3 linked regions of the Kluyveromyces lactis genome follow. The protein of the gene in region 1 purifies or fractionates together with the protein of each later gene. This does not show direct contact. Links are inferred from orthologs where the notes say so. Each region holds a gene or a part of one and is shown on either strand. Other genes may lie near its edges. The genes, in order: NPL6, ARP9 and RSC9.

Region 1 (3,132 bases):
GTTTCGTAACAATATCAGCGAACGCCCCTTTGGAACTTTGTACAACGCCCTACTGGCCACAGACTTTACGCCAAGCCTAGATACCGGCCTTATTAAATGGAACATTGCAAGTCACTTCAATGTAATAAAACCACCACGTCGCTGCTACGGTTAGCCGAGTCTGATTGCTATACCGTTTACCTAACAGGACTTTTCGAATTTAAAACCAGTGGAAAATCTTTGTTAACACCGAAACAAACCGAGACAAAAACAGCCGTTTCAACAAACACCTGGCTATTTTACACTACTATAGGGTCTTAAATTCACAATGCAACCACTGTAGATTGCAAATGTAACTGCTAACGCTCCTTTTATCGGTGGCAAATGGCCTTGTCTGTTCACCTTATGGGGTTGTTCTGGTTGAAAAGCCCAAATTCATTTTTGGTAGAGCAAGGACATATCGTTACCCGGCCACTTAGTATAATACACTCTTATTACGTATGTTGAGATATACACGTATACATGGGAGGTCAGTTCAGCTATGTTATAGGCTTGTTTCGAATCTCTTTTGTTCTTCTATAGCAGCGACTATATCTTCGTCCAAGATGTCTTCGTACATCGATGTAGGGACGTCAGAAAGACCGGTGCAAGGTCTTGCTAGGTCAAGAGCTTTGATTCTTGTTTCGTACATAACTTGGCTTGTGTTTCCTTTCACTTTCTTCACTGATATCACTCTCGTCGATTGTGTGGATTGTGGTATATGTAAGACGTTCGTGTACGTATCTCTTAGTCCGAGGTTTTCGATGAGAAGAATGCGTTCTCTATCGTAGAAAAGATCACTGTTGAATCTACTGCATGCAGCAGCATGATGATAGAGCCAGTTCGTAGATGAGATATTGCTTGTTGCCGGGATGTTGTGATTTCTCTTGTCAAAGAATTCTACTGCATTTTTGGATGGGTTGACGGATAATTGTTGCGGAATGTCTATTCCAAGGGTATTTCTTCCAGTGACACTTGTGTGTGATGTTTCTCTTGCTGGGGTACCCTCTTTCACCTTCCCGGATGCACGAAGCTTACCGGCGTAATAATCATCCGTGATGTTTTTACCATCTACAACAACCTTGGCTCCGAATTCTCGGAACACACTCCTTGCAGTAACTAGCGCAATGATTCTGTTTCTGTACGAATAGGGCAATACACCATTTTTGATGAGATCGTCTCTCTCTGATTGCGAGATAATCAATTTGTATAGGTTTGGATGGTACTGGAAGAACAAGTATGAGTCTCTGAACCCAACGGCACGGGCTGGCTCAGTAGAAAGCATGTATTTAACTTCACCTCTGGAAGGTACCGTGAAAGTTCTGACTACAAATTGTCTTCCCTCTAGAAGATCACCATTCTTGGTGATCTTGGTTTCACCCTCTGGATCCTCAGGTAATGAATACTCGTCATTCACAATTGGGTATGGAGACCCGTTTTCGTCCACTGGGTACGGTAGTTTCTGTCTTAAGGGATCGTTCAAATCTTCTTCTCTTTTCCTCTTTGAAGGCCTTCCTCTTGTCGCTAGTACCACTGGAACAGGTGTGCTCGAAGCGGCCTTGCGCTTGGAACGAGATGGTTTACCCTCGTTTTCGATATCAGCATCTGGGTCATCATCGTAATCATCATCATTGGCTGGTCCAGGGTACTCTTGATCCTTTTCATCATCTTCAATGTCTAACTCGTCTGTATCGATTTTATAGCTGGTTGCTTTGTTAGCTGAGCGAGAAACCCTCGAGCTCTTCCTGCCTCTTCCTGCTGCTGCCATATCTGATATAGGAGAAACTCAAGCTTCTTGATTGGTGATTCCAAATACAGAATTACTAAGGAATGTTATGCGTATATCCGCTTTCAACCGAGCTTTGTTGATCTTGTTTGTTTATATATAAGCTTTGAGAGGCAGGAATCTGTTCAATGTTCAAGAGAAACATCAAAACGTATGAGATGATAAAGAAGAAAGAACAACTTCAACGGCTTTACTAGAAGCTCTAGATATTTCTGGGGGGGGGGGCCTTGATGCAACATCTGATCCTCCTATTGTTATTCATTGTCTTATATTTCGTACGTTAACTAACTGTTAAATACTTTTATGTGTTACTGGTAAAAAATGTGTCTCATTCAAAACTCGACGGTCCACCTCTTGATACAGGCGTCCACACCGGCGCTGACGATAGTGGAATCGTTTTCCCATAGTACACTGGACACACCGTCCTTTTGTGCGTTTAATCTTTTTATCACTTTCATAGGTTTGTTAACAGAGTAGATGAAGATGTTGGTGTCCAGAGAGCCAGTGACAACATAATCTTCCTCCAAATCATCATCATTTGCAGAAGGTCTCCAGTCAATGGATGTAATTCTGCTTGTGTGGAATGACCATCTCGAGGTCTTGACGTCCTTCGTGTCAAGATCATATAGGATAATCTTACCGGACACGTCACCGGCAGCCAAGTACTTTTGTGATGGAGAGAAGGAAAGAGCAGATGGAGTGGCACGTAATGGAGTGGCCAACGTGAATGCATCTGATAGGTCAGAAATTTTGAATAGCTGCACGGAGTTGGTTTGTTCGTATGCCACTGCCACGAAAGTAGTTCCCAATGCGAGGGCCCCGACAGGTTTATCTAGAGTTATCGATTTCGATAATAGCCCACTCTTGTTATCGATGATCAACAATTCGTTAGTGTTTGTAGCAACAGCCAAAGTGTTATGAGAGAAAACCGCACATTTAGGTTGCTCTGAGAATTGGTACTTCGTTTCAGCAAGCGCTTTTTCACCATCGATGAAATTCTTCAACGTTTCGTCCCAAGAAACACTCGATACCTCGTTATCAGAGTTATCGATGGCCAATACGAGATTACCATGAATATCATGGCTAATAGCATTGACTTCGTCACCTTCTGAATTCCAGGTAACAACTCTACCATCGTATGACCCAGACACTAATGGGTTTACCGCCAAAGAAGTAATCCCCTTGTTGTGACCATGAATGAATTTGATGGTATGATCATTTAGAGACAAAATGCTCAAGGTCCCATCAAGCGTCAATGTTACGATGGAGTTATCCTTAGTGACAACAACACCGACAATTTGATTCGAAACATCTGCACCTAATTTCCA
Region 2 (3,622 bases), on another chromosome or scaffold:
ATATCTTCGTTGTACAGACGCCATTCAAAACATTTGTATTTCAAACGGACGAATCAGATACCCTGGTATGGTTGCATTCCCTAACTTCAGCGATTAAAAGCAAAAATGAAAGATTCACTAATAATGAAACATCAATCAATCCCATTGCTAACAAAGCGGCATTACTAGCTGAGCAGGAAGCCGAAACACAACTTAATGGGTATAAAACTACAAAAACTCCTTTCCTCACTAAAAGAAGGTCCAGTTTTACCTCACAGAGACAAAAACAAAACAATAACGGGAAGCTGGGTACAAGACCAATATCAAGTGGATCTAGAATGCTTTCCCGGAGCGAGCAAATCTTTAGAACAAACAAATGATCAAAATTCTAGTAAGAGTCATAGCTCAATGCTCTAGAGAAGTTTGATGGGCACTTTCTAAATGTACGGTACTCTGAACTGCATTTGCTGATTGAAATTACAATGGATATCTGTATACGTTTATATATTGAAAAAGTACTAGAATTATTTAGAAAGAAACCTCCCAGATGGCCTCTGGGCCTAGTTCGTCATACTTCTCCCTTGTGACATAGAATGAATTGTTAGAATGCCCAAACACTTGCTTTGTTAAGATCTGGGCGCCTAAGAAGGTAATATCAGCGAAACCAATCTTCTTCCATTCCGAGAAATATTCAGGGAACTTTGGTGTCATGATGGTAGTTGGTGGCTGCACATATTCAATCTGATTTAAGATTGGAGCAGTGGAAACCTTCCCAATTTTCTTCTGTTTAGAATCTAATTTAGCCGCAGCATCCACCTCTCTTTTATACAGTTCCTCTTCTGGTTCACTAACTATATGGTCTTTTAGCAGCTGTGATAGAAGAGCTTCCCTGAACCCTTTTATATGTGATGTCCCTCCAACAATAATGACATTTTCCCACATTGCTTTAAGCTTGGTTATGTCATCAATCTGGCTCATTGCTTGTCCTACAGCTTTCGAGACATCCTTCAACAGATCTTCATAGCCTGTGAATCTCTGCCTGCTTACAGTAATACGATTACCATCAGTATCAAAGAAGTCATTTGTCTCTAATTTGCTGTTGTCCAGTTTTTCTTTGTTTTTGTTTCGTTCGCGCTCTTCTAGAATTTCTCGAGTATCACGCCCACTAGTAACAATTGTAGCCACATCTAAAGTACCTTCTTCGTCATCTTCGTTGTCGATAGCGTATTGATCCATGATATCTTGGGACAAAATTTCGTATATATCCGACCTTTTTAAATCCTCAATTTGGGACTCGGTGAGATTTGGTAAAGCTCTCTGTAGATTCTTATTTATCGAGTTTCCACCGGAAGTAATCTGTCTTATGAAGCAGGTTAAGGGTGTATAGTCCATAATTGGTACAACATCGGTGTGAAACTTGCCAATATCGATGATCAAACAATTTTGCAAAGAGCCATAGGCAAATGAATTAGCTAACGAGCTAGGTAATATAACAAAATGCTTCAATTTCATTGCTTCAAAAGCTGTTCTGCAAAGTAGTTCTTGTTGGAATTGAGTCCAAGAGTAATGCGAAATTAACAAAAATGGAATATTAGAAAGAGCTGTATCCCAAGCGATTGGACTATCGTCACTCTCCTGTTTTAACACAGATTTATAGATCAACTTTAGAAAATATTGGAACGCATCAATATCGACAATGCTTCCCTTCACAATGGGACAGATAACAACATCAGTAACAGAGGATGTAAAGTTACCATTTGCATCTCTGTAAACTTTTGTTGGAATAGAAATCGAAGGCGGCTGCAAAGTATCTTCTCCAATACCAAATTGAACCAAAGTCCTATTGGATCCTGGATATATTATCTGGACAAAAGTACCACATGTAGTAATGTGAGTGGATCGGTTAGTAAAGTTATCTTAGTAGTTTAAATAACTAATGTTTTCGGAATAATGAACAATCTGGATACCGCACATACGAAGTAACTGTCTTGTCTTAATGGTGCCATTTTTGCTAAATGGTTTCTAACAATACAACAAAGTGCTCGATTTATCGTAACAATACGAGTTACAGTTGCTAGGTCAATGACGAGACTTTTCCTATCCAAGTAGCTAATTCAAAGTATAAACTTGTTTATCTTCTATTACTTTTTGAATTTTTCAAATAATGAAAACAGTTATCTAGCTAACATTAGCCTACTCAATGATGAATATGACACGCGAAACATTGAAATTAGTTCTATGACACGCAAAAGACCATACGGAAAAGAGATTGATACATAATGGAACAGTCTATCAGGAGCATAGACGGTTCTAGATCTTTGAGCAATGTTGGCGCTTCACTTATAGATCGTGAATCGATCAATCAGAGAGCACTACAATTATTACAGAGAAACAGAAGAAGACGTTTGTTGTTAAATAGAAGTGAAGACAAAGCAAGATACATCCAGCCCGAGCGTTCTGCTAGCAGCCAGCAGATTCACCCTCCAGAGCATCATATCAGCGCACATGAAAGAATAACAAAGGCTCGGGGAACTAGATATAAACCTACTGACCTAGCTTTGGCAGAAATAAGGAAATATCAAAGATCCACAGATTTGCTTATATCCAGAATGCCCTTTGCGAGGCTAGTGAAAGAGGTAACAGATCAATTCACTACCGAGAGCGAACCTCTTCGATGGCAATCCATGGCAATTATGGCTCTTCAAGAAGCAAGTGAAGCCTACTTAGTCGGTTTATTAGAGCATACAAATCTATTGGCACTTCATGCTAAAAGAATTACAATTATGAGAAAGGACATGCAACTAGCTAGAAGGATACGAGGTCAATTTATTTGAAGCAATCCTTCCTATCATTTAAAGTACAGATTTATCTGCTCAGCTTCAATTTGCTAATAGTTTGATGTCTATTGGAAGAGCAGAAATTATATATAAGTATAGAACTTTATATTGGTTACATATGGTTACAAATTCATTATTTAACGGGTGAAAATGGTCAGAAAGGAAAGCGTCCAAGGTGAAAGTGATGTACATCAATTTATTACTTTCACGTAATTCATTGGTACCAGACCATGCTGTTTGTTACCTTGATATACCTCACCCACATACCAGTCATCATTTATGCATTCGACTAACAGCAGGATATCACCAGAATTGAAAAGTAGTATGTTATTTTCATTGGGTTCAGTGTACGAATACATCGCTTTGACATATTTTACGACTGGATTTTTCATGGAATCAACGATGGGTAGATTCAATTGTTCACCATCAATAGTCACACGTTTACAACGCATTATATTCAAAGAGTTGCTGAAAGGCAACACTGTTCTGCTCACAGTTAAGTTGCTAGAAGCACCAGAGCTCGTTCTTGATGTCATCGGACGATCATTCATTTCCAAGATTTCTAATGCTGTTTCGACATCCGATGCGATGGATTTTCTACGATTTGCAGTTGGTGGCTTCAGAGAGTTGTTATTGTCGTTGTCAGAAGTATCCGTATCCATTGTGGGCGAATACATTGATGAAGGTCTAGATTTTCTTCTATTGCGTGAATTCCAAGATTTAGCAAACCTTTGAGAGTCATCGACACTTGAGGCCATGGATGAGAGAGAAGTCGACATGGAATCATAACTTGCCTTATTTTTCCT
Region 3 (3,483 bases), on another chromosome or scaffold:
GGGGTTATCTTAAAACAATAACTTTCACCGAAGACCAAATGTTGCAGTTGCTCAATATATGGCAAAAAATTAACCCAATTTTGGTTGACAATTTGTTCAACAACATCGTCGAATCAGTATGTTTGAACAACGCTGTAAAGGTTATAAACTTCAATGATAATGGTTCTTTTAACGTTAGCAAGACCTCGCTAATGGTACTTTTAGATTCCATTTCTGCCATTTACAAATCTGAAGGCTTATCTGATCATCATTCTAAAGTGGAGAGTTTCAAAGATATTATAGATTCTTCCATGCACTAAACAACTTTCTGCTGATGTTACCTTATTCTTACTATACTTCTATCATACTTTCCATGAACAATCTGTCTCATGAAGAAAGTTTTATTTATTTATTATTTGATGAGTTTTACGATTATTATGACAAAAATGGGTTTACGCTGATCCATTCGATACAAAATTCTGATATTGTCAGAATTGCTATCATCTATTTTTTATTTTGTTTCACCATTTTTAATTCAATTTTATACATTAGTTAGGTCTCCCGTTGTTTAATTTTTACCTTTAATCGATACGTTATACATTTAATTATTACAAAACTACAACTTTAATTACTCTATCGGCCTAACGGTAAGTTCAACCTGAATGTATGAAGTCCAAAAGAACAGTATTTAAAGGTGGCACGTCAGCAATTTGATGTAATATCAAAGGTTTCATATCATGAATAAATTGTGCCACGATCTCGGTACTATCGTTAGAAACAAGTGAAAGGAATGACGCACTTGCTTTAGATACATCAGAAAGATTCTCGGGGAAAACAATATCTGGCAAACAAATTTGAACTGCTTCCGATGGAGTATTGTTGCTTTCAAATTCATCCGGGGTTTCAGTCTGTATAGGCGAGGACTGGTCAATATCTTTATTTGCCTCTACGATTGAAAGAGCTTTTCTGCGAGGCTGTATACCTCTTATTACAAATTTTTTCTTCGACGTTGCTTCATCTACAACTACCAAAGCGGATGCACCGGGCAAAGCATTCGAAACATTTTTAATGAAATCAACGGCAGTTATCAATTTTCGATCTGTTAGTTTTACTTGTTCGCTGAATGTTTGTTCATAAGTTTTCCATAGAAGAATCTGTGTTACTTCGCCATTCAGAGATCTCTCAAAGCAGCATCTCAACCAGGAAGTGGCACGCATTGGTTCGTTTAGCTCAAATAATTCCTTGAGCAGTGGCATTGGCAATTCAGGCGCGTGTGCTGGTGGTTGAGGTTTTACCCTCTGTATAAGTTTGATATTAGTATTCGAAAGGGCATGATAATCAGGGGTTGATACATGATACGTGAGGAGAACAGGGAGAGTACTAACTAGGATATCATATCTTTCCTTATGTGATAGTAATGTCTTTATTCTCTGATGACCAGGTAATATATATTGATAAAGGAAATCTAATGAAGCAATTATTAACTCTTCATCCCTATCAATTAAAAGGTTATGAACAATCTTGTTCAACAAACTATCATCCAAATTATCTGCTGCACTCTTTTGGTCCGATTTAGATCTCACCAAGAGTCTAGATAATGATCTCAAAATTGAGATCACGCAGTATCTATCCTTTGTATCACGAAATATCAAACAGAGGTTTTGGAAATATAGATCGTCTTTTTTTGCTGGTGCAATATAAGATGAAATCGCCTCCATTAAATCAAGAGTATAGATTAACAATTCGTTGAAACTGGATGTATGTGACTGATAGATTGCCGAATCCTTCGAATTGAACGTATTTGCCCACTCCAACACGAACAATATGAACGATTTCAATTCCATATCGGTGGCTAATATCGAAGTGTTTTCCGAGTCCTGTGCCAAATTTCTCAAAAGAAGCATTGTAATTGAACCTTTTTGTAGGGCTTCAAAAGCCTGATTGGAAATTGGGCCAACAAGCTGTGGAATGTATTCTCTGCATGCTGTAATCAAGGGCATAATAATGGGCAACAAATCCAAATTCTCATTCAATTTGATAACATAAGAAGCGTTAATGCTATACCGTAAATATCTTTTCAATGCAAATTTAACTTCTTCGTCTATTCCACTTAACAATGCCATCTTCATACGGGTGAGATCATCAACACCAATCTTAGAGTTTACAGGCAAATGATTGAAGATAGGCAAACTGCCTAATGATTGTTGCAACCCAGCAACAGGCTTAGCGGTAATACCATTGGTCTGGTCTCTGCTAATATTTAATTGTGTTGCGGGCAATGTCTTCAAGCTTGGAATCGCTGTTTCTCCTTCAGCATTGATCACCGGAGTGACTGAATGGCTGGACATCTATTGATTTGTGAAGCACTAGGTATCACACAAAACTAGAAAAAAGCGAGTCTCCGAAAGAAGGTGTGTTTAAGGTATCTAGATCGCCGATATAGGTACAAAGAAAGTAAGCTCCATCTAATTAGTCGCGTTTTCCTTTTCTGTCATTGTACATATTAAGAAGTCCATCTCGAATCTTTCGTTGTTTTGCATGTTGTTGAATTTCGAGTTCAATAATACGGCTTATATCCGGGTAAATGATTACATAAATGCTCTCCGTACATAGTAACAAGGACAGATTAAAGACTATATGCTGTTGCTTAGTGATTCTAATCATAGTTCTGACAGTTAGGTTTATCCTCTTTATGAACACTGACTATCCCCTCTGTGACAGCCTAAGTCCTTTTCAAATGGTTATGGGAACAACGAGTTTAAATTCACCTCCCTGGCAATTGACGTTGATCATGTGACCGAAAAGTGGTAATTCCACGCTAAGGAACGGATCATCAACCGATGATTCAGTGTAATCTCAACATCAAATCGACTCAAACGACCCATTGATTCTCTTCCTTCTTTTCCATTTCTGCCCTGATTCAAACACATTCTAATTACCTAATTAGTTTCCTAGACCCTAACTCCCCCAGAGTTATCACTCTCAGTGATCTGATCTGATTACTTACTCATACATACATCAAAGCAAATTCCACACATCACGGCGTCCGGAAGAATTTTTACCTTAAGGCACAATACAAATGGTGGCATTGCCATCTGCAATTTTAAGACACAGTCGTCCTTTTGCATCGTTTCTTGCTGCCATTAGCAAACCGCAAAAGTCATTTCTTTAACATTAGCAAAAAGACGTCTTTAGAATCCAAAAAATAAGGGAAAAAGGTAACGGGTTAGCGAACATCATAACTGACGCTATTGTGAGCTTGGCTAGACCATGCGTGAGTATATCCATGTCACCCTACCCCTTATTATAAGTGTGTAGAGCTATTATTTGGAACTAAGTGTGGCCATCGATTTTTACAACTTAGTGTGATGCATTGTCACTGTCAACTAGAAGTTTGTTCTGGCAATTCCCATTCTATATATATATATATATATATATATATATCAACAAACGTGGAACACTTTCTCTTGCTTAACAACTGGCATTTTTAGGCTTAGGTATATT

The links.
Region 2: the proteins of NPL6 (region 1) and ARP9 purify together in Saccharomyces cerevisiae (affinity purification with mass spectrometry; 7 studies listed by BioGRID, with this or other methods). This does not show direct contact. The link is inferred for Kluyveromyces lactis from reciprocal best matches to the Saccharomyces cerevisiae genes NPL6 and ARP9.
Region 3: the proteins of NPL6 (region 1) and RSC9 purify together in Saccharomyces cerevisiae (affinity purification with mass spectrometry; 6 studies listed by BioGRID). This does not show direct contact. The link is inferred for Kluyveromyces lactis from reciprocal best matches to the Saccharomyces cerevisiae genes NPL6 and RSC9.

The regions. Positions count from the first base shown.
Region 1 is NC_006042.1:1,271,974-1,275,105, forward strand, and holds NPL6 (Npl6p), read right to left. Parts: upstream 1,787-3,132; coding exon 524-1,786; downstream 1-523. Other genes in the region: m-AAA protease subunit YTA12, read right to left, coding at 1-105; AIP1 (Aip1p), read right to left, coding at 2,137-3,132. UniProt on the Saccharomyces cerevisiae protein: Component of the chromatin structure remodeling complex (RSC), which is involved in transcription regulation and nucleosome positioning. RSC is responsible for the transfer of a histone octamer from a nucleosome core particle to naked DNA.
Region 2 is NC_006039.1:1,062,586-1,066,207, forward strand, and holds ARP9 (Arp9p), read right to left. Parts: upstream 1,986-3,622; coding exon 1,956-1,985; intron 1,843-1,955; coding exon 508-1,842; downstream 1-507. Other genes in the region: serine/threonine protein kinase PKH1, read left to right, coding at 1-359; centromeric DNA-binding histone H3-like protein CSE4, read left to right, coding at 2,259-2,813; formin-binding protein HOF1, read right to left, coding at 3,008-3,622.
Region 3 is NC_006040.1:880,993-884,475, reverse strand, and holds RSC9 (Rsc9p), read right to left. Parts: upstream 2,328-3,483; coding exon 633-2,327; downstream 1-632. Other genes in the region: RPM2 (ribonuclease P), read left to right, coding at 1-299.